Linked DNA regions of Arabidopsis thaliana. Each later gene encodes a partner of the first gene's protein in a complex. Each region holds a gene or a part of one and is shown in the gene's direction. Other genes may lie near its edges. The genes, in order: AT4G32820, AT1G21610, AT1G77310 and SGA2.

The links.
Region 2: AT4G32820 (region 1) and AT1G21610 share a complex: the UniProt entries of both Arabidopsis thaliana proteins name them as parts of the HIRA complex.
Region 3: AT4G32820 (region 1) and AT1G77310 share a complex: the UniProt entries of both Arabidopsis thaliana proteins name them as parts of the HIRA complex.
Region 4: AT4G32820 (region 1) and SGA2 share a complex: the UniProt entries of both Arabidopsis thaliana proteins name them as parts of the HIRA complex.

The regions. Positions count from the first base shown.
Region 1 is NC_003075.7:15,838,614-15,843,556, reverse strand, and holds the start of AT4G32820 (Tetratricopeptide repeat (TPR)-like superfamily protein), read left to right. Parts: upstream 1-1,913; 5' UTR 1,914-2,102; coding exon 2,103-2,105; intron 2,106-2,202; coding exon 2,203-2,277; intron 2,278-2,389; coding exon 2,390-2,509; intron 2,510-2,584; coding exon 2,585-2,625; intron 2,626-2,750; coding exon 2,751-2,962; intron 2,963-3,079; coding exon 3,080-4,863; intron 4,864-4,943. Other genes in the region: AUR1 (ataurora1), read right to left, coding at 1-45, 129-224, 313-459, 600-719, 965-1,000. UniProt on the Arabidopsis thaliana protein: May be required for replication-independent chromatin assembly.
Region 2 is NC_003070.9:7,572,124-7,579,478, forward strand, and holds AT1G21610 (wound-responsive family protein), read left to right. Parts: upstream 1-1,820; 5' UTR 1,821-1,980; coding exon 1,981-2,220; intron 2,221-2,832; coding exon 2,833-2,919; intron 2,920-3,069; coding exon 3,070-3,162; intron 3,163-3,235; coding exon 3,236-3,312; intron 3,313-3,707; coding exon 3,708-3,834; intron 3,835-3,915; coding exon 3,916-4,257; intron 4,258-4,461; coding exon 4,462-4,543; intron 4,544-4,628; coding exon 4,629-4,741; intron 4,742-4,825; coding exon 4,826-4,912; intron 4,913-5,097; coding exon 5,098-5,223; coding exon of another isoform or gene 5,224-5,367; exon of another isoform or gene 5,368-5,504; coding exon 5,505-5,633; coding exon of another isoform or gene 5,634-5,675; exon of another isoform or gene 5,676-5,725; coding exon 5,726-5,773; exon of another isoform or gene 5,774-5,928; coding exon 5,929-6,042; intron 6,043-6,127; coding exon 6,128-6,520; 3' UTR 6,521-6,833; downstream 6,834-7,355. Other genes in the region: PTAC6 (plastid transcriptionally active 6), read right to left, coding at 1-118, 353-457, 1,005-1,073, 1,174-1,659; PUM20 (pumilio 20), read left to right, coding at 7,006-7,213, 7,257-7,355. UniProt on the Arabidopsis thaliana protein: May be required for replication-independent chromatin assembly.
Region 3 is NC_003070.9:29,049,514-29,056,957, forward strand, and holds AT1G77310 (wound-responsive family protein), read left to right. Parts: upstream 1-1,984; 5' UTR 1,985-2,157; coding exon 2,158-2,406; intron 2,407-2,647; coding exon 2,648-2,734; intron 2,735-2,883; coding exon 2,884-2,976; intron 2,977-3,075; coding exon 3,076-3,152; intron 3,153-3,536; coding exon 3,537-3,666; intron 3,667-3,747; coding exon 3,748-4,116; intron 4,117-4,479; coding exon 4,480-4,561; intron 4,562-4,645; coding exon 4,646-4,758; intron 4,759-4,849; coding exon 4,850-4,936; intron 4,937-5,128; coding exon 5,129-5,254; intron 5,255-5,510; coding exon 5,511-5,645; intron 5,646-5,749; coding exon 5,750-5,797; intron 5,798-5,949; coding exon 5,950-6,060; intron 6,061-6,219; coding exon 6,220-6,666; 3' UTR 6,667-6,918; downstream 6,919-7,444. Other genes in the region: MEI1 (transcription coactivator), read left to right, coding at 7,227-7,406. UniProt on the Arabidopsis thaliana protein: May be required for replication-independent chromatin assembly.
Region 4 is NC_003070.9:24,890,613-24,894,387, forward strand, and holds SGA2 (ASF1 like histone chaperone), read left to right. Parts: upstream 1-1,727; 5' UTR 1,728-1,973; coding exon 1,974-2,082; intron 2,083-2,381; coding exon 2,382-2,497; intron 2,498-2,570; coding exon 2,571-2,936; 3' UTR 2,937-3,264; downstream 3,265-3,775. Other genes in the region: LIG6 (DNA LIGASE 6), read left to right, coding at 22-83, 191-352, 432-520, 652-751, 903-1,211. UniProt on the Arabidopsis thaliana protein: Histone chaperone that facilitates histone deposition and histone exchange and removal during nucleosome assembly and disassembly.

The DNA.
Region 1 (4,943 bases):
CTTGCCATGGCAATAGATGAGAGCCCTCGCCAATGAGGCAACATACTGGCACAATGAACATAGAAAGGATATCAGTTTTCATACAAGAAATCAGTTTGAGAGGTCAAAATGTGGAAGGAATGACTAACAGTAGCAGCTCGTCTTTCGCTGAAGTATTTGCATTTCTGAAGATCCTTGTAAAGTTCGCCTCTAGCAGCATACTCAAGTATCAAATAAACTCTTTTCTGCAACAAATGAAGAACTTAATCATGCTCAAGAGTAGATTGGATAACAATTATCTGTGAATAAAAAAGGAGAAAAATGAAAAGTTACTTGATCATAGAAATAGCCATAAAGCCGGAGTATGTTGGGGTGACGAAGATGAGACTGAATCTCAACTTCTCTTCTGAGCTGATGTTCAACTTGGGATTGTTGAAGCTGGCTCTTGAAAAGAACCTTTAGAGCGACAACGTGATTGCTCTGTTTCACATTTTGCATGTATGTGTGAGATTGGTGGAAGGAAAAACAATCAAGGATCTAAAACAAATGCTTCTTAAGTTTGGATTTTAACAACAAAAATTTGAAAGATGGTGGAAGATGATAGATTGTTATATACTGACCCGTTTTTCTCTGGCGAGATAGACGTGACCGAATTTGCCTCTGCCAAGAGGCTTACCGATGTCGAAATCGCTTAAAGTCCATCTCTTTTGTGCAGCTGCTGCAGAAGCATCTGAAGCCTCCTGATAAAAACCAATTTTCAGATCATCGCTAGAAACGAATCTGCTTTGAAATTGAGCAATTTTTGAACATCTGCCCTAATTGATTCTCTTTCTATTCCAAACATAAATCGATTGTTCAAATTCACAAAAGTTTCAAACCCTAAAATCGTGCAAAAGAAAAGGAAGAACAAAGAAAAATCGAAAGAAACGGAAAAAAGATTTGGCTAAAAACGACACGAAGGAATCATGGAATGGTGAAAGAGTACCTTCTCCTGGTGTTGTGTCTCCGTAGGGATCGCCATGGAAGAAGAGATCAACCCAACAAAGAAAGAGAGCAAGAGAGAAAGAGAGAAAGAGGCCAATATTTTTGACAGATCCAAATCCAATTGGTGAAAAAATTAAAGGTGGAGCGGAGGAGGAGCGGGCTAAAAAGCTTTAAAATAAAACTAAAAGATACAATTTCGAAATATTAAAAAAAGGGGCAAAAAATAACGGTCGAATTTTTAGTGCTTGCCACTTGCCAGGCTGTTGTCTGTGGACCTGACCAATTTATATTTGAGATTGTTTAGCCTTAATTTAACTACAAAATTTACATTAACCGTAGCTAAAATTCATGTGTATTAAAACACATATTGTGAAGACATAACAATTTACAGGTTTTTTTGTTCGTGGCCCTAAACTTTTGCATAGTGGGTGGCACCTATTTTTAGTGTAAATATTGTACTGAGATTTTTACCTGGTTGTTAGTTAATTAAGAATGGTTTTGATTTTTGTAGTAAGGCTTTTAAAGTTGTCTGCAGCCCAATTAGTATCTTGAGTCTTACTCTTTATAAAATTGTAACCCAAATACAAATGTAGTTTAGTTTTAATAATGTTATAATGTTATTGGACAGTCCAATGAAGTTTTCAGTGCATATTGAAATAGTAATAGGCCCATTAAAGTAGTGTGCTGCTGCCAATTAGTAGAATTTTACGTGAGATAAACAGATTTCTTTAAAGATGAATGTTTTGCTAATCTGATGAGAACGAACTTATTAACTCCGGTAATTTTGAGTTAGCAAATCTCTCTTTTAACAAAAAGTCTTCAAAATAGAAAAATTAAATCTTAATTGCAATATATACAAAAGTGCAAAAAAGTGTTTTTAGTGATATTTCCATAATTCAGGCATATACAATACATTATCGGAAAACCCCAATTTTTTAACAGACGGCAAAATAGCCAAAACAAAAGAAAAACACAGTAGAGGACGAACAGACCAAACAAAGAAAAGAATTCTGTGAAATCTAAAACTCTAGTAATGTGTTTAACGTGCATCATCAACCCTAGTTAGAAGAAGAAGAAGATTGACCAATTTCGCGCCAAGAACTCGAAAACCCCAACCATTACCAGCTTCGAGTATCAAGATGGTAATGATAATTTCGGGCAAAGATTTAATTTTGATCCCCCTTTTAATCGGTTAGTTTTTGATTTTTTTTGCATTTGTTTCGCTTTTTTTTTTTTCAGTTTTCGATTGCAGCGATCAATGATACGGAGTCCACAGAGAAGTGGGAACCTTTAGCTCCTAGCAAAGAAGCTCAGGTTTTCTTCTGATTCAGGGCTTCTTTCTTCTCAATTTGGTATAAAGAAGTTAGATTAGCTCATTGTTGAAAAATATATTGAACTGTTTTTTTTTTTAAATTGCCCTCTTCAGGAGTTTCATCTGTCACAAACATATCATGATGGTCTTCTCAAGCTGCAAGCTAAAGACTATGACAAGGCTCGGGAGCTGCTAGAATCTATCCTTAAAGATCCTATTATAACCAACTCCAAAGTAAAATCATCTTCTTCACTTACTCTGATGATTTCTTTGGATGATGAATGACCTTCTTATTGACATTATGTCCAGGTGGAGACTATTGCAAACGACAATCATCTCCATCATCTCAGGTCAAGCTCCATCGTTTTAATTCATCTAGTTATTGGTTACATGTCTACTAATTGATTTTGTCTAGTTCATATATTTTTAGTTCATTAGTGCTGTGGTCTCGCCTATAAATAATTTCTGTTTGCAGATTTTTGGCTCTGAAGAATCTTGCCACTGTCTTTCTTGAGCTTGGTTCAAGTCACTACGAGAATGCTCTAAACTGTTATCTTCAAGCTATAGACTTAGATGCAAAAGATTCTGTGCTCTGGAACCATCTTGGAACCCTATCATGTTCTATGGGATTACTGAGTATTTCACGATGGGCATTTGAACAGGGACTTCTCTGCAGCCCCAATAACTGTACGCACTGTTCTCCTCTTTCTCTCTCTGTTTTTGGGTTCACATTACTCATATGTGGTATGGACTATTGCATTTACCCTTCCCTCCCTCTTGAAAATTGAATTGGCTAATGTGCAGGGAACTGCATGGAGAAACTTCTAGAAGTTCTCATTGCCGTAGGTGATGAAGTTTCCTGTCTTTCAGTTGCAAATCTGATTTTAAGGCATTGGCCATCACATTCTCGTGCTTTGCATGTTAAACATTGTATTGAAGACACAGATTCAGCTCCTTTTGCTCCCAAGGGTATAGATAAACTTGAACCTCAGCACGTTCGGCTCAAATTTCTTGGCAAAAGAAAGGTGTCTGACATGAATCAGGACATGGATGCTACCTCCAAGAAGTTAAGAAAAAGAGTGCAATTTAAACTTCCTGAAGCTTCATGGGTGGCACTGCTAAATATTCTAATTGGGATAGTGCATCCTTCGCGTGAAACTGTGGGCATATCAGCTGATATACCGATAACCATTGAATTATCCCTTAGTACAGAGGCTGTTATGCAAGGTATGAAAAAGAAGGATCATTGTGTGGATTCAGATTCAAGTAATGTGTCTGTTAAGGATTGCAACATCGAGAGAGAAAGTGGTGGTTCTGTAAAAGAAAAAGAGCCTGTGTTTTCTGAAGAACACCCCCAAGAGAGGCGGAGTACTCGTCTTGAACGGCTTCGGAACCAGAAACCTGAGAAGGAAGGGTTAGAATTTGATAACAGTAAGGATCCTAGCAGTGACATCCTTCAATATCTTGAGAAATTTGTCCTTAAAAGGGGTTTTGACAGAGAGTCTGCTGGTTCTTTCTGCAATGAAGAATCTGATCCAATTTCTGAACACGCCGTCGTTTCTAATTTTGTGAAGGAAAATTTAGAAAATTATGGTGCGTATCATATGGGTCACTTGCTTCTAGAATATATTGCTAATAAATGTGAACATGTATTGAGTCGTGAGACTGCCTTGAAAATTTTGGAGTTAGAAAAGCTTACAAGACATTGGGGCCGAGATCGGAAACCTGAATGCAGTCTTTTTCTCGCCGAGCTGTACCATGACTTTGACTCTAAACGATCAGATATCCCTGATGCCCCATCATGCATGGTAGAAGTAACATACCATCTCTCTAAGATAATTGAATCTGTTTCCCTTGATTATGCTATCGACTCTACACCTAGTTCTCGAGGGAAAATGTTTTCTGACTCCTCATTTAAGAGTTTTCAAGGTGATGAGGCTGCTAAGGAGGTGTTAGATTATGATACAAGATCTTTCTGGGCTCGATATTTCTGGCTGAGTGCACGGTTATCAATTTTGGAGGATAATAAAGCTAAAGCACTTGAAGAATATCTCAGGTGTTTGTCATTGTTGGGCAGGGAAGGTATCGGAGAAGCTCCTGTCTTAATTCAGCGACCTCATTGCAGAAGAGTTCGAGAGCTGACCATCAATAGAATCATTCATGAAATTAATCTGCTTAAGATTGATTTCCTGTTGGAAAATAACATACCTGAGATGATGGAGAAAGAATTTTATTCGGAGTGTGTAAATTTACTGGCACCTCTTTTGTTTCCAGATAAAGACATCTTGCCTGCATACGCTGTAAAAACGGAAGAAGGGATCTCCTCTGTTGAGTTATCGGCACTTGAGGTTTTAATAAAAGCATGCCAGAAGAGTAAGCCTATAGATGTAGAGGTTTATATGAACTGTCATAGAAGAAAGTTGCAAGTTCTCTTAGATTCAACTGGTACGGGAGAATCTGTTGTGACACCTAAAACCTCGTCCAAAAATTCAAGTGAGAGTTGGGATCACTTGGTGGCGGAGGAAGTCAAGGCAATTCTTCTCTGTATCTCTCAAGTGAAGAACTCCCTTGACCAGTCAGGAAACTCTGTAAGTCTGAAACTTCTTCTGACATATATGTTATGGTTCTCAAGTAATATTTGAAAAGCTAATAACCTTTGTTTGCTTTG
Region 2 (7,355 bases), on another chromosome or scaffold:
GAACTCTGGCTCTGGTGATTGACTTTGTCTTGGAATCAATAACATATATCTCTTCAAGATCTAGCACAAATTCTGGATCGTTTGTCCTTCTGTTCCGGTAATGTTTTGTCAAGAAAACCTGCATAAAAAATAAACACGATGAAGACAATTTGTATCAGAAACTGTAACTACTAAACTAAGTAGTTTCGTGTTGATCTCATCCTTAATGCTTAAAAAACATATTTCCTGGTGTGGTTTCCAAAAATGTTGTCAAATCAAAACTAAGTACATCCTTGTTAATACATGTTGCTCAAGACTCCCTGCATCAAAGACCTAATGGATTTAACATCAATGTACATGGTCCAATATGTACCTTGGATATCTCCCTCTCAGATTTGTACAGTGGATCTCTGGGGGCATCAATAGGTGGTTCAGTGACATTGTAACATCCATAGTCACTCATTGCACATCGAATATACTGTACTTGTAACATCATTAAACAAGCCCTTGTTAGCACCACTCACTCATTGTAACAACTTGCTTATAAATAAACCTTACAATGTAAAACATACGCAATCATGAAGCAGCAAAGAGTACAAAACTGGCCACAGAATGAAAGGAAAGTGACTAAACAAACACCCAGCTGCTACATTCTGACTCTCTAATCATACTAAATGCTGACCATTTACGGCACTTTTTGAGATTATATGTTCAAAATTCCAGTCTATCAGTGTGAGTAGAAGTTCCAAACAATACCAAACGTGTACAGCTCTGTGTAGATAAGATTTCTTAAGTTATACAATTACTAGGTAGAGTGAAGGTATATGGGTTATACAATTACTAGGTAGAGCTCTGTGCAGATAAGATTTCTTAAGTGATACAATTACTAGGTAGAGTGGAGGTATATGGGTTCAATTAGCAATTAAGCACAATATGAAAAGCAATTATCTTGCTGAACAAAAGGAAGTCTCAGAACAACGCATAGGCATTACAAAAACAGCAACCGATAAGGATAAATGACTGACCTTTTGAGGCATCGGTGCAAGAACTCTCGGAATTGAGTAAATATCTGTATCCGGAGGAGTAACATACATCTGCAGCCACCCACACAAAACAATTTACAATTGAAGAATGAGCACAGACTCTAGAGAAATCGAAGAAATGAGCAATTAGAGTCACTGGGAATTCACACACCTCTCTGAAATCATAAACATCATTATCTGGATCAGGAGGTTTTCTGATAAAGAAATCACAGTCCATTAAGCTGAGTTTATGAAACTCATCTTCGTTTATCCGATAATCAACCACCATATCCGAATCCCATCCTTGTGTCGATATAAAACTCTTACTCTGAACAAAAGCGATATCTCCATCACCACCACCGCCTGCAGCGGCTATCGCGGCGGCCAAGGGGTCATACTCGACATCATAGTCCTTCTTGTTGTCAACTTCCTCTACCTCCTCATCATCCATATCATACTCGTCCGCTCCACCTCCATCAGCATCGACGTCATCTACTTTAACGACTATACCACGGCCGCGTCGGGATTTCAGTGTTAAAGGCGCGAAAAGACCGTCCGTTCTGAATGACGCAAATAGCCGCTGAGAGCCGGAGGGATAAGGTGGCTTCGAGGTGAATGAGAGTAGAGATAAGGAAGGAGAAGCGGCGGAAGACGCCATTGGAAGCGGATAAAGCTCACAGAGTGTTCTATCTATCTGTGGATTAGATATTTCGAGGAAAAATACAATTAAAAAAAAAAGAAAAACTATATAATATAATAATAATCCTTTTTAGTGAATAAAACAACAAAAATAAATTAGGAAATAATTAAGAGCGTCATTTTTGGTATCCCGCGCAACTTTTTCTTCTCAGTTTCAGTTTCTCTACATCGATTCATCGATTCCACTCTCTTGATTGCTGTTTAGATCAATCCGTCTCGAACCCAGGGGTTAGTATATAGTGGATCAAACTGATCCGACCCGACCCGACCCGAATTATTAATGTCGGAAGTTAATGAGATGAGTGGTGGTTCTATTGGCGGCGAATTGTTGAGAGCGTCGCCGAAGGTTTTAACGGCCGGTGATCGGAAATTACTCAAGGTGGAGCTTCGGCCAGGGGATACGACGTATGTTTCGTGGAAGAAGCTTATGAGGGATGCTGGTAAGGTCAATGGTTTATCGGCTTCGGTTCCCGACCCGCCTCCTAATGCTAACCCTAACCTTGAGTTTCGAATTGCACCGGTGAGTTTGATGTTGTAGGAATTGGTAATCGGATATATATACTTGTAGGCATTTGTGGGTTTCGTTTGCTGTTATTGGAGTAAGCATTTGTCTTGTTTCGGGGAGTTGTAATCTTTGTTAGGGTTTATAAAGGAGCTTTACTAAATTCGCAGATTTTCAGATTTATTTGTTGGGGAAAATGCTTGAAATCGATATGGTATAGGAGGAATTCTGTTGTTATTGCTCTCTGACGTCTGTGACTAGAGTTCAATAAGCAAACTCCTTAAACGGAGAAAGTCTACAACCTGATATATGATCTTTGGCTTCATTTCTAATTGCTAGCTACATTAGGCTAACTTCATCGTTATCAATGTGAATATGCCATCAATTATACTTGATCTGGAAAGGAATTTGGTTCACATAGTTGCAATGGAAACTATAGCTGTAATAGTGAAGAATATAGAGAAAGTTTTATTAATATCTATTAGTGCAAGAGAATGAAGCATATAATAGTGGATCTTCATTTAAGATGGTATAATATGCTTGCAGCTTCCTCACAATATATTCTTCTTATGCATACAATATGGGTGGTTAAAATCATTTTCAACAGCTGTATTTTCGTATATAATGTAGGGGCATCCAGTAGAGATTGAAACGAATGAACAACCTCATTCTAACCGTTTCAACGCTGTTATTGAGAAGATAGAGAGGCTCTATAAGGTATGCTACTCTTTGTTAAAACACTTTTCTTGGTAGGTTGTTATATGTTTGATTTTTCACATTCACAACATTTTTGCATACCATGCAATAGCACTGTTGCATTCACACATCTCTGAAAAGTGTATGCTTACTTCAGAGAATAAATCTCAGGGGAACGATAGCAGTGATGGGGAAGAGTTAGACGGTGCTCCTGATGATGATGAGTATGACACTGAAGATTCATTTATAGATGATGCTGAACTGGTTGGTGTTGATATCTTTCAAATATTTTTGATAGCTGAGAAATCATATCTCTGTTTTACTCTACTCCTTGCAGGATGAGTATTTCGAAGTTGATAATTCAACAGTTAAACATGATGGATTTTATGTAAATAGAGGCAAGTTGGAGCGGATGTGAGTTATCTTCCTCTTTTCATTATCTGATGTCTCTTAACTCTTTGGTGGCTTTGTCACTTTTCAATCACTCAGATCATGTTTAGAATAGGCATGTCGTAAGTTTTTGAAATAAACATATGAAATCACCTTGCTTTTCAGTTTTTCTTCCTATTTGGATATGTGTAGTCTCTCCAAATGGTAAAATATGGTTGGCAGTCTTGCTACTACTGCCTTAACTAATGTCTGTAGGGTGTTTGGTATGGGTAAAGTCCATTTTTCAACTTTTCTGGTTAAAAAACGTTCATATAGATGTAGGTTTTGCACTTTCGATAGGATAGAGTTTTTCTCATTTTGCCTAATCATGCTATATTTCATTTACAAGTTATCTAATCCCTGATTCATTTTCACAATAGGGAACCTTCAACAACATCTAACCAGCAACCCAAAAAACGGCGACGAAAAGATTCAGCAAAACCCTGTCGTGATGCAGTTGACGTATCCGATAAACACACCAAGTTGTCTATAACAGCTAGGAAAAAGGTAACATCTTTTATTGCAAATCATACTAATTTATGTCGGAGTTTGAGTCTGATAACTGATTATACGAATGGGGAAGTCCAGGATCAATCAACTGCTCCTGGGTCCTGGAAAACACAGGAGTCACCTTTGCCTTCTGGAGCGCAAGATGCAAATACTTCAGTACCTCTGGATGATGTGAAGCATTCTGATAGAGCAAATCATCAGTCTAGGAATGATACAAGTCACAAGTCAAGGGAAACTGGATCCTCTAGTGCCCTTCATCAGAAATACAGCAACAAAAGCTTACACCAACAATCTACGTCCCTGCTAGGAAAATCTCCCCCCAATGTCTTTGCAGAGGTAACAGTAGTCCGTCAGAAAGAAAACAATGGTATGCATCAGCTGGCAAATGTAACGGGAAGCAGACAATCTAGTCAAGCGTCTGTAAGTACATTCCAACTGTGTCTACAATTACATAAAATACACTCAGTAAGTTGGTTGCATTCTAAGGTCGTAGTTTTGTTTCTCCAGTTTTCATCTCGGTTCTGTGATATTTTTCTGGTCAATCTTTGCTTCCATGCATTTTTCTTACCACAAAGTTTACATCAGTCTTGCTTTATAATTCTGCAATAACCTGTCTCTACTCAGAAAAAAGATGGTTCTAATGTGAAGTCTAAAACCTCAATCCTCGAGAAAGCCATAAGGGAACTGGAGAAGGTGGTTGTGGAATGTGAGTTTTAATATTTTTCAAGTGTGACCAACTAGAATAGCATTTGGTGATTTTCAACTTACAAGAATTTATGATTTATAAGCAGCAAGGCCTCCTGCTATCACTGAAAATCAAGAAGCTGATACCTCATCCCAGGCAGTGAAGAGAAGATTGCCCAGGGATGTTAAATTGAAACTTGCTAAAGTTGCTAGGATTGCGGTACTAGAGCTTTTCCATTTGTTCTTCTCATTTTTTTGAAACTTGAAACGGTATGAGAAAAAACTAATATGCCTTTTGTGGCAGCAGGCAAGCCAGGGAAAACATTCAACAGAGTTAATCAACCGTCTTATGAGCATTGTTGGTCACCTAATCCAGCTTAGGTCTCTTAAGGTAAAATTTTCTGTCTCCTGTATCCTAGTCTTTCTGTTACTAAAGCAGACTTGTTAGGACTTTCGTCAAGGTGTTTAAATAGTTAGTCTTCTTCAGGACATTCATGTTCCAGTGAAAAACTCTTCTGTTTCAGGTACAAGCAAACAAAATATGGTTTCTTACTCTTTGTAATGCTTATTTTGCAGAGGAACTTGAAAATCATGATTGATATGGGAGATTCTGCAACCCGAGAAAAGGATACTAGGTTCAAGCAAATCAACAATGAAGTTCTTGATATGATAAAGGCCAAAGTTTCTTTGATGGAATCACAGGTTCTCTCTCTCTCTCTCTGTTCTAATCTTAAGTTGCTTGATAGGCATTTCTTTCATCCATGGCTTTTCTATCTTATTACATTCTTGGAAGTGTCATTAACTTTTATGAAATCTGGAGTTCTCTCTGATAATGGTTTTCCGTAGATCAAGCTCTTCATTCTTTTGTTTTCGATGTTCCCTGTGGGTCAATCTGCCTTTGTAGCGTATTTTCCTCCTATTAATATGTTGAGGCACCTGTGACATTTATGATATTTCTTGCACTATCATTTTATGTTCCATAGGCAATCAAACCAGAAGGTGCAACATCAGACGATTTTCAGGACTCAGTAGAAAAGCCATCTTTGAAGAAGTTTGTCATGGATGCGGCATTGGAGGATAAATTGTGTGACCTATATGACATATTTATCGACGTAATTATCATTTACCTTTATAATCTGCCATGCCAATTCTAGACATAGAATTAGAGTCAAAACGGTTTTGTTCCTGTTTTTTGGTATATTAGGGATTGGATGAAGATCAAGGTCCACAAACAAAAAAGCTATATGTCAATGTAAGCCCTTCTCCATTCCCGATTATTTTTGGTATTCTGGTTTTTTTTGTTCCAAGCTTATCTCATGTCTTAAATCACCAATTAGACCTAGCCAAAAGCTCAAGGTGGTTTGTTAGAGCTTGATGAATATTGTTTTGGAATTATTCATGCTCCAGTTGGCTGAACTCTGGCCAAATAGATTGATGGATTATCGTGGGATCAAACATGCAATTTTCCGGGCAAAGGAGAGACGAAAAGCATTGTATGGAAACCTTGCGAAAGAGATGGTAGTTAAAGAATTTTCTCAGCCCTTTACCTCTTTGCATTAAAATTTTCGCAATTTGCTTTGCTTGATTAGATTCTGCTTTGTTAAAGGATCAAACAAAGATGAAGAAGAGTATGAAGCAGTTGGTACCAAGAACAGACTGTACTGCTCAGCCCAACACCGAATTAGTGGTTCAGAGACAACACAGTGGGGAAAAAAAATTGATTGTTGATCCAAATGCAACCAGCACTTCCGTGGTCACTAGTCAAACTATGGTTGACAGATCAAATCAGCAGCAGCCTGAGAAGCTAAAGGGAATCTCAAGCTCTTGCAATCCTACAGAGGAAACAAGAGTGGTCAAGAGAAAGAACGAGGCTGTAATGGCTGAGAAACAAGTCGTTCTTGCCCTGAAGAAGCCCGAACATCCACAGACACGTGTAATCCCAGCTCCTCAGAATCTGAACATCCCACGAACAACCCCGGACCTGAACTTGCCAAGTTGACATCACGATTGACAAAGGAGCTCTTAGAAACGCCGGAGACAATAACCTCTGGCCTCTTCCTTCCTTGTATTTTGAGGTGGCACGGCATTAGTCCTGGCGATGCCGATGCTTGGTTTTTTTAGCTACAAAGCATGGTTTATAAAGTTGTCTGTATTCCAGTTTGGCTCTTATTAAGTTAGTTACTCTATTTACGTGTCCTTTTTCAAAACTCTAATGTATAAAGTTATGATTTTACGGGCAACTCTTTACTTTTGAGTAAAAAAAACAGAGCAGGTTTTAGTACTGAATTTTGGGTAACGTAGTTGAAAATTTGATTTCGGACGATAATGTAAAATTGATGAAATACATCAAAATGACTACATTAATCCTTTTGACACAATATGAATAATCAATTTTAATTAATATTATTATTACTTGTAAAACAGTATAAATATGGCTCATTATTTCACAGATTCTCAACACTCTCTCATTCTCCACAATTTACGATGGCACACCAGCTCCGTTTTGCCGCCGCAAGAGAACCCATCTCAGAAGAGTATCCGGCGGTTGCTCTTCCTCATCCACGTTGCATCTCCGTCGCGTTTCCTCCTCCGAGATTCACACCATCTCCGTCGCCTTTAACTAATTACTCATTCTTGGCCGCATTAACTCCTCAAGAACTGGAGATGCGTTTGCAAATTGCAATGGATGTCCGTAATGACTAATAACGAAGATCATGTTGCGGCTCCGTTTGAAGAGATGATCTCGAAGTTAGACCAAAGAAAGCTTCAAACGATGGCGTCATTGCTGACATCAGATCCCGATTACTTCTTGATGATCGCAAGAAACATGAACG
Region 3 (7,444 bases), on another chromosome or scaffold:
GATGAAAATTTAATTGACAAACAAAAAAATATTTATATTTTTCGATAAAGTCATAGGTTTTTTAAATCTTACCCAAACATATGTCAAAACAATAAAAGTTAGAACTTTTTTGTAGAGAAAATTCACACAAGCTTTTACTAAAAATACATTGCCAATTTATTTCCAAGATATTCAGATCTATTGGGGAGTTGTGTTCAATCAAAATGGTCCCAAAGGTGGTCCATAAAGACATGATTAGTCGTTTAATTAGCTTCTTTAGTCTATGATTACTTGATTAGTCGTTCGTTCTAATAAGATTCTCGCTAGTATTCTTCCATAATGGTTTATCATTAGAAAAAAGAAATATATATTGTATGTGTATATCAGAATAAAAGTTCATGTAATAACTTTAGTCTACCAAACCTAGCTAGTTGTATTATTATTTTACAATAAGACTCACACAGCCCCACTCATTCGCAATCATAACATCGGCGGAGACTTTCGCGACCAAGCAAGCGGGAATAAGTTTCATAGCTCCAGACAACGATGGTTAACTGACTTGTGTTCTCCTCGTTGAAGATGCAAATAAGTGCGATGATGATGAGCCAAGCATTTATCCGAATCAGAGTCTTGTTAACGATATTGAGTCACGGTTTGAATGTGACCAAACCCTTGCTATGATCCCTGTCATTAGAAGCCAAAAACGTGGAAGCTAAGGGGAGGATATTCATACACGAAGTCGCAGTATTTCTTCTTGTTGTCCACCTCATCCACTTCATCTTCTCATCCATATCATATATGTCGTCGGACACCGTCCATATTGAAGATGAATGAGCAGTTGCGGCGGAACTTAGAGGTTGGAGACTATGTCGACTTTATAAGAGATCAAAGAAGCATCACAATAAAAGAGAGAGCAGAAGAGTATCGCCATGATCCCTGGGAAGCGTGGAACTGCAAGGGTGTTATATAGGCTTATAGTGTTGTAGTTGTTGATAATTACTATATTTTGATGTTTGCATTACTGTCTGTCTATATGGAGCCATGGAGGTGATATCATAATCCAAGGGAGAATTAAGAGCTAAGAGAAAAACTTATGCTATCATCTAGCTACACATGATGCATAAAATCTGTGCCTAATTCATAGTTTTGATAATATGGAAACCAAGGAATGCTTTGATATATGACAATAAGCTATGGATCATCATTCCATTGCTAAAAAAAGAGAGAAAAACAATGGAGTTGAGAACAAAAATATGAGATGCGGGAATTGAACTAATCAAGTTATAATCTACTTGTACACATAACCATGTCCCACTCACTTCTCTCAACGCACTTTTGGATGCATCTTGGAAATATGAGAACAAACCATACGAACACTAAAACTAATTGTTTCGCTTTTGTATGATCAACAAAACAGACTTGTAGTTTGGAGTTGATGTAGTCTTACTGTAATGCCGTCTCTCGGTATTGACCTATTCCGACGCAGTTTCCTCAAGAACAATATTAATGCAAAAAGCAACAATTCTAAGGCAAATACATAAGCAAGGCAAGCAAAATAAAATTGTTGTCTCTTCGAATTTCTTAGAATAACTTATGTAACAACTCCTCGTTACTTGATGTTTCATTAATTAACGGACAAAACAAAGAATGACACATGATATTTTCATAATTAATTAAACATATTACCACATCCACTTTTATGAAACCAAAAGCTTAATAAAAACATTATTTAACCTCTAACAAATTTTAATTTATTTTATAGACAAAATAGACACTTTTTTCTCTTGAAAAGTGATTCTTAGGATTCTCTCATATTTAGTCATTTTAATTTTTTGAAAAATTGAAACCTAAATATGTTTGTTTACATTTAATTTGCACTAAAAAAACAAAAATCATTTTCCGAGAGACAGAAAAAAATAAATAGTAATAATTAAAACCTGTTTACGAGGAGGAGAAAAAATAAAATAAAAGAAAATAAATAAAAGCTTAAGAAGCGTCTCATTGCTGGATATCCCGCGCAACGTTGTAACAAAAATCGTCCTCTCAGTTCCAATCTCTCTCAGATTCTCCTCCTCATCACAATTCCCCACTCCTTTGATTCTTGTCCCAGAGTCACGTCCTCTCCTATTCGGGTCTCTACAGAGTCTAACTCTGACCCGACCCGACCCAATTCACTAAATGGAGGACGAACCAAAGCTCCCAACCGATGACGGTCCAACTTTCAACGAATCGTGTAAAATCTCGTCTGAGATATTGACCGCCGGTGATCGGAAATTACTTAAAGTTGAACTCCTCAAAGAGGAGACCACGCTCGTATCGTGGAAGAAGCTTATGGATGAGGCTAGCAAAGAAAACGGCGGCTTGTTCGTTTCGGCTCCCGAACGGCTTCTTAATGCCAACCCTAACCTCGAGTTTCGCCTTGCACCGGTGAGTTCTTAGCTGCCTACATGCATATTCTCATGTATTCATTTCTCTGTCTCTGTTAGACCAATTTTTGTATTGTATCATCATTCCGGGAGCTGAATTGGGAAATTTCTCCTTGACATTGAGTTTAGAGCTAGGGTTTCAATAAACTAACTCTTGAAAATGAAACAAAACTAAAGCTGTATAGTGATTTCAATGTGGATACTGATCATTGTCTAATGATTTAGCGATATATCGAATGCAGGGGGCACAAACAGAGAATGAAATGGTGAATCAACCTCATCCTAATCGTCTTAACTCTGTTATAGCCAAGATTGAGAGACTTTATATGGTACCTTTTCTTACTACTGTTTCTATTGATTATCTGAACAAGTAAGATGAATGTTTGATTTCTTATTCGGAACATTTTTCATACCATGCATTAGCACTGGTTTTGCAACAGATTTCTGATTAGCGTATACTTCATAAAATAAATTTCAGGGTAAAGACGGTAGTGATGGGGAAGAGTTAGACGGTGCTCCTGACGATGATGACTATGACACTGAAGATTCATTTATCGATGATGCTGAATTGGTTAGTGTAGATATCCTGACTATGGCTTTCTTATGTGATCAAAGTGTATCTTGATAGCTGAGACATCCTTCTTTCTTTCTTTCTTTTTTCCCATTGTAGGATGAGTATTTTGAAGTTGATAATTCGCCAATTAAACATGATGGATTTTTTGTCAATAGAGGAAAGTTAGAACGAATGTAAGTTTTTTGTCCTCTTTTTGTTGTATGTTGTCGCATTTCTCTATGGCAGGTTTGTCAGTTTTCATTTGGTGATATGTTGTGGAGAATAGGCTATGGGCAGCATAAGTGTGTGAACATATATTTGGCATCACCGTTCTCTTCCCTCTAATTAGGTTTATGCAATGTTTACTCAGGGCAGAAATATTTGATAGAATTTTCTTGATAATATTGCTACTTCTCTGCTAACATATCTAGGTTATGGTCAAAACGCAATGAATATTTTGTATCGTTGTGGTCTCTGATTATAAATAGGATTCAGGTTTCCCTGTTTCCTTATGAGTAGGTTATCTTCCATTACCATTCTTACCAGTTTATCTAAATTGTGTTTCCTTCCTACAACAGTGAACCTTCAGCTACATCGAACCAGCAGCAACCAAAGAAAAGGCGAAGGAAGGAGTCAGCAAAACCTTGTGGCGATGTTGTTGATGTATCCAGAAAACGAGCCAAGATGGCTAAGACGGCTGGGGGAAAGGTACATTACTTGCAAATAACTTTTTGAATCTATTTTAGAGTTCCATTCCAGACAGTTGATTATTTGAATGTGAAAGTCCAGGATCAATCTGCTTCTCCTGGGCCCTCTTCGAAGAAAATTTCCAATGATTCAAAGACGGTGCAAGATTCGTTTTCCCCTTTGAAAGCGCAAAATGGCAATGATTCCTTAGTTTTGGAAAATGTGAAGCATACTGATAAAGCGAATCACCAGCCAATGAATGCCACGAGTCCGAAGTCAAAGGCAGCTGGATCTTCTGGCCCCCTTCATCCGAAGTGCAGCAGCAAAAGTGTTCATGAACAATCTAATTCCCCTCCAGGAAAATCTCGGCCAAATGTTTCGGCAAAATCAGCAGTAGTTCGTCAGCAAGTTAACAATGGCATGCCTGACCTGGACATTGCAACGGAAAGCAAAACATCTATTCAAATATCTGTAAGTACTTTCCAGCTATCTTAAGTTTATTAGATTCCTCATTTTAGTTAGTTTGGAATTTGAAGTAAGCATGTATTTGGGGCTTTCATCTTCTACATCCAAGAGTGATGCTTCTCTAATCTTTGAGACTGTAGAAATGATCTGTAATTGTAAAGATATTAGCATTTAATTAGGAGAGTTCACGCATTAGATGGCTTCTATCTGTAATTAGTTTTCATCTCGACTCTGGGTTGATCTTTCTGGCTAATATTTGCTTCCATGCTTTACTCTTGCATATCTTACAATCTGTACTCAATTTTTTATTTTTGGAATGGAGCCCCCATGGTATTTACATTAGATTGCTCTTTACCTTTCTCTATTTAGAAAAAAAGCGGTTCAAATGGCCGGCCTAAATACTCGACACTTGAGAAAGCCATCAGGAATTTGGAGAAGTTGGTCGCTGAATGTGAGTTTCAACTGTTTCGTTGTTCTCTACATGCATGAGAAGCTAAATACCATTTAGTAAACTATCATATCCAATTTATTGCAGCAAGGCCTCCTGCTGCCACTGAGAATCAAGATGCCGATATCTCTTCCCAAGCAGTGAAGAGGGGATTGCCAGGAGATGTAAAATTGCATCTTGCTAAAGTTGCTAGAATCGCGGTAATCAAACTCTTCTGTTTCTAAATATGTATATAAATTTTAATAATCTTTCAGATGTATGAAGAAGAGTAGCAATTTTCTTTTCTTGAAGTATGCGAGCCAAGGTGAAATATCAGGAGAGTTAATCAATCGTCTCATGGGCATTGTCGGTCATCTAATACAGATTAGATCACTTAAGGTATTCATCTCTATCTCCTGCATACCGAGACTTGTTATCGTAATGGAGTTGTGATTCTTACTGAGGCATTAAAGTATTTAGATTTTTTCGATTTAAGGTGAAAGCTCTTCCATTCCAGAAAGAGCTAACAAGATCTGTATTTGTTAGTGAAGGAGTTCAAGCTCTTACGGTTTAGTAATTGTTATTGTACAGAGGAACTTGAAAATCATGATTGATTCGATCGTCACTGCAAATCGAGAAAAAGATACTAGATTTCAGCGGATCAAGAGTGAAATAACTGAGATGTTAAAAACACAAGTTCCACTTGTGGAATCCCAGGTTCTCTCCCTTCTACTCTACTAGTTTCTCTGATCTGATTTTCAAAAGTATTTCGTATCTGCTATGTTGCATAGATACTTTTGTTCTTGTCTTTATTGTTGGATTTAAACATCTTCTTTCGATGATGCACGAAACTCAGAGTTCTCTCTGATTATGATTGGCCTTGGATAAGCACTTATATCTCCCTTTTATTGAGACATTGATAAACATCTGATATTTTGAAATATTCCTTGCGCTGACATAAATTGTTTCACAGGAAACAAATCAAGAAGCTGGAACATCAGACGATTTTCAGGATGTTGGATCTCTTGGAAAGTCACCTGTGAAGAAGTTTGTCATGGATGTGGCGCTGGAGGAAAAATTGTGTGATCTATATGACGTGTTTGTTGAGGTAATTAATATTTTCCATAACCTTACATAAAAAGGTGTTCCAACTTGTTAGATGCAGAATTGTAAGTGTCAACATAGTTTTTGCTCTGTTTTTGGTAATACTAGGGAATGGATGAACATTCAGGTTCACAAATCAGAAAGCTTTATTCAGATGTAAGTTCCTCTCCAACCTTTATATTTTGCCATTCTTTGTCTATTTGCTTTCCAGATCCATTCAAAAACATTAGACTAGACCTTGCCTAATATTCAAGATTGTTTACCAAACCTTCCTGATTGATTTTCTTTTGGATTTATTCTTGCTCCAGCTAGCTCAACTGTGGCCCAATAGTTTAGTTGACAATCATGAGATCAGGCGTGCCATTTGCCGGGAAAAGGAAAGGCGGAGAGCATTGGAAGGAAACATTGGGAAGGAGATGGTATTTGAGAAATTCTTAACTTTTTTACGCCATAGCTGTTTGTTTGCTTCTAACGTGCTAACTTTTGGATGTGATAAATATCCATTTGTCATCGAATATTATCATGAACTCGCACATTTCGCTCATGTTTATCATTCCTCAACTTTTATTTTATTTTAGGATCAAACGAAGATAACAAAGAAGAAACAGACACAATTGGTCCCTAAATCTGAGGGTATTACTTATCCCGACAAGACTTCAGGTGTTGAAGTTAAAGCAAGTGTTGTCCTAACTGCAACCACCACGTCCTTAGTGGACTGTCAACCTGCAGCAGACTCGTCCTTTGAAAGGTCAAAGCAGCAACATGAGAAATTAAAGCGAACTTCGAGCTTAAGCAATCCTGCAGCAGAAGGAAAGAAAGTCAGAAGAAAGACAGAACCAGCTCTAGAAGAAACTCACCTGCCCGCAGAGAAACCCCTCGTTCTGGCCCTGAAGCGGCAGACACATCTAAAATCCAAGACACATAAACAGGTACAGGTACATCCACAGTCCAAGGCACATAAACAGGCACAGGTACATCCAAAGGCCAAGACACAGACTCCTCCAGACCTGAACCTGCCAAGTTAGGTACTACAGCTTAGATTTTTTTTCTCAAAGTCTGGCTCTAGCCTTGCCTTTGTTTTTCGTAGCTATAGTTTCGCTTCTAATTTTTGCGCCTAGTATTGATTTTCTAGTCGTTTCTTACGTAGAAGACGAAGTCCCTCTCCTCGTTACAAATTAAAGATGTTAAGAGAAGCTCCAATTCTTTCAATCTGTTTTTTTTGACGGAATAAACCAACACATGTAGCCTATTTCTAAATGGGTCTAAATTTGTCGGCGGCCCAATAAGGGGTCATAATAAAAGAATAAAAAGCCTTAAAAAGGAATTAGTATGTATCTGAAATCAAGCTCACTGGACTGGACGACCAAAAAAAAAGCGCACCGAAAATTCCCGCGTTCTCTTCTTACCAGTTACCACGCCGAATCACTGACCTCAAATCCAGAGCTTGACGAATCTCGTGCTATGCGAATGCTACTAGGTTCTAATATCCATCTTCTTCCGACGATTCTAGGGTTTCAATTTTCTCCGATAACCCCGTGAAGCTCTTACAAAGTCGAGAAGTGCGTGGTTAGGTTTTCCGGCGGCGATGAAGACGACGCAACTGTTCAAAGGGGCAAATGTTTTTATGTCTCGGAATCTGGTGCCTCCTGAAGTCTTCGACACACTTCTCGATGCTTTCAAGCTTAACGGTGCCGAAATCTTCCTCTGCTGCGACCCATCTCGGAGTGGTCCCTCTGATTTCCATGTCATCGCTTCTCCCGATCATGTGCGAAATGTTCTTTCTTATATATCCCTGCAATTGCT
Region 4 (3,775 bases), on another chromosome or scaffold:
TGGTTTTGCTTGAACTTACAGGTCTAAAGGAGGTCTTCCCTGAGACTAGGCCAGGTTATCTTGAGTATGCTAAGGAAATAACTGTAAGTGCTACGGTAGTTTCTCACCTAGAAGTTATAGGCTATAGCCTTCTTCTGTATCTAAGTGTTTTGGTATTTTCATTGAACTGATCATTGTTTGATTTTTATAGGTGGGAGCAGAAGAAGCGTCTCTGAATAATCATGACACATTGAGTAGGATAAATGCTTTTCTTGAAGAAGCATTTCAGTCATCTTGTGAAGGAATCATGGTCAAGTCTTTAGATGTAAATGCTGGATACTGCCCCACAAAGCGCTCTGATTCATGGCTCAAGGTCTCTTTGCTGTAAATTATCTTACTAAAACATAATGTGATGGAAATGGATTAAATAATGCTTTTCTTTTCTGGCTCAGGTTAAGCGAGATTATGTAGATGGATTGGGCGATACATTGGATTTAGTTCCTATTGGTGCTTGGTATGGCAATGGGAGAAAAGCAGGATGGTAGTAAAAACATATTTTCCAACTTTCTCTTTTTTTTTTTCTGAAAAGCAGAATTGTAATCATAAGTTTACTGGTAATTTCTCAAATGCATCTTGATGAATTCTGATGTTTTTTATATATTTTGTGTGTAGGTATAGTCCATTCCTTATGGCCTGCTTCAACCCTGAGACTGAAGAATTCCAGAGTGTCTGCCGTGTCATGTCTGGTTTTTCTGATGCCTTTTACATCGAGGTAATGAAAAGCTCAACTCTAACGTTGTTGTTTAATGATGAAACAGATGGGGTAGTAAATACGTTGGGTTTGGTCTATACTTGGACTCCTAATTGTCACGTGAGAACCATTTCAAGCTTGATTCTACTTTCTTATTTTGCTTATCTTGCAGATGAAAGAATTCTACTCGGAGGATAAGATCCTTGCGAAAAAGCCGCCTTACTACAGAACAGGGGAGACACCTGACATGTGGTTTTCCGCAGAGGTAGTTTGGGAAATCAGAGGTGCTGATTTCACAGTCTCGCCTGTTCACAGTGCCAGTTTAGGTCTCGTCCATCCATCGCGAGGCATCTCTGTTAGGTTTCCGAGATTTATCAGTAAAGTGACAGATAGAAATCCTGAAGAATGTAGTACGGCTACAGATATCGCAGAGATGTTTCATGCTCAAACCAGAAAAATGAACATCACTTCTCAACATTAACACGCTTCCTATCTGCTTTTGGTTCGTTTAGACTTTTTTTTTTTTTTTTTTTTTTGCTATCAAGCACTTGCAAAGTTGCAAGGGTGTTTAAATAGGAACCTAACTCACAAAATATTTTTTGTGGTTTTTAATCTGTAGGTAGAATGTGTAAATATTTCTACCTAGAACTATGTGAATATTTAACCCATCTGTATATATTATCTATGTGCGTCACTTTTTCTTTTTTGATGTCGTAAACACAAATGGTAACACTGGTAACAAAATATTGAAAGATAGAAAAAAAAAAAAGTATATAGGATATGATTGGTAATCTCTTATTTGTGTCACTAATCGATTGAATTCTATATTTTTTTCGTATTTATGTGTTGGACACTAAAATTATCAAATATTTAGCAAATTTCCCTGCTGCATTTCGTGAGTTAAAGTATTCCTCCCGCCAATTCAACTTAACCGGTAGTAGCCGGTCACCATTCCAACGACAACCGGTTATAAGAAAGCCATCCCCAAAATTGAAAACATTTTCATCGTCTTCTTAATCAAAAAAAAAAAAAAAAAAAAACTCTGAAGCTTCTTCTTTGATTAATTCTCTCCTGGGGAAAAAAAACCCTAGCTCTTCCTTCTTCTCTCTTCTCTTGAATTATCTGCTTTCGAATTTTTTGAAAAGGGAGAAACTTTTTCATCTGGGTCTCTCTCTCTCCCGAGTTTGGATGAAGTTTATTGAAACCTAGGGTTTTTCTCCGACTTGGTTGTTGATTAGAGATAATGAGTGCAATCAAAATCACCAACGTCGCTGTATTGCATAATCCTGCTCCTTTTGTTAGCCCTTTTCAGTTCGAGATTTCTTACGAGTGTTTGAATTCTCTCAAAGACGGTAAAAATCTCCTCTTTCTCCTTCCCCTGAATTGTAATTCATCTCGACTTTATTTAGGTTTTAGTCTCTGCTGATTCTTATGGATTGTTTTCAACACCAATTTGTTGCTGCTGATTGTAATTGGAACATATTGTTACCTAATTGCTTTGTCAGAGTCATGCTCTAATGGTTTGTTTTCTAATTGATAATCTAGAGTCTTGTTGTCTATTAGTTGGATTTATCTATGCACAAGTTCTTGGTTAACATTGTTATAGGGTGAGGATAACTTAGATAGACCCGTGCTTTTGCTTGTGGTACAGATTTGGAATGGAAGCTTATCTATGTAGGCTCAGCAGAAGATGAGACTTATGATCAACTTCTAGAGAGTGTGCTTGTAGGGCCTGTTAATGTTGGCAACTACCGCTTTGTATTTCAGGTAACATATGCACTACTACCTCTTCCAAGCACCAACAAAGTCTTGGTCTAACTCTCTATTACTACTGTTACAGGCTGATCCTCCGGATCCATCAAAGATTCAGGAGGAAGACATCATCGGTGTTACTGTGCTATTGTTGACATGTTCTTACATGGGTCAAGAGTTCTTGAGAGTTGGATATTACGTGAACAATGATTATGAGGATGAGCAACTCAAGGAAGAGCCTCCAACTAAGGTTTTGATTGATAAAGTTCAGAGGAACATACTTTCCGACAAACCTAGAGTTACTAAATTTCCTATAGATTTTCATCCAGAAGAAGAGCAGACTGCTGCTACTGCCGCTCCTCCTGAACAATCTGATGAACAACAACCTAATGTCAATGGTGAAGCTCAGGTTTTACCTGATCAGTCAGTAGAACCAAAACCTGAGGAATCATGATCCTTATACCAAGTCTAGTTGAAGAAAAGTGGATGAGAATTGAGAACTATTGTCTCCACAGATGTTGCGCTTTGCTTTTCTGTCTTTCAAAAGCATTATATGCTGTTTGTTGTACTTAATTCTAGAGGCTTTAGGGAAGTGATTCTTGACATTTTTGTATGTTTATGTTTTGGGCAAAGGTTTTTTAAATCGAAGCAAAGCCAACAGTTGCCAAACAAGATTCTGAGTTCTGATGGTTGGAATTTGGTAATAGGTGTAGAATAACTTCCCTAGATTTTCTCAAGGTACAAAGCGACATTTGATCTTCATCATTTGTTGAAAAAAGTGCCGTTAAATGGTCATAGTTAGCATTGATGATGATGATTATCATCATCATCAACCATAATTCTTTCACCAAAAAAACATGAGTCCGTGATTTTTTTAGGACCGTTTCACAGTTGTTCTGCCAAAAATATGAGTCCGCATTTATTCACCAAAAAAAAAAAAAAAAAAAAAGTAGTACACATTACAATTTCTCGCCTAACGATTTTACTCTGTGGTAAACCGAAAGATAGTTAAAAACGGCTCCATTTCGATTACTTTGAAAAAAAAAAAATGTTTGTTTTGTTAAAAGAAAATATCTTTTAAAATATTAAAAAATATTTTATTCAAACTTTTATTAATACAGATCTAATTACTAAACTCAATAACATTATAAAAGCCGTGTTCGGCTAAGCCCAGTAAGCCCTATATGTTTTGAATAAATACGATATTTTATAATAAACAGATTGTTGTTTTTAAATACCTAATAATACATAATATATTCCTATACTTGACAATAACGAATAAGAATTATATTA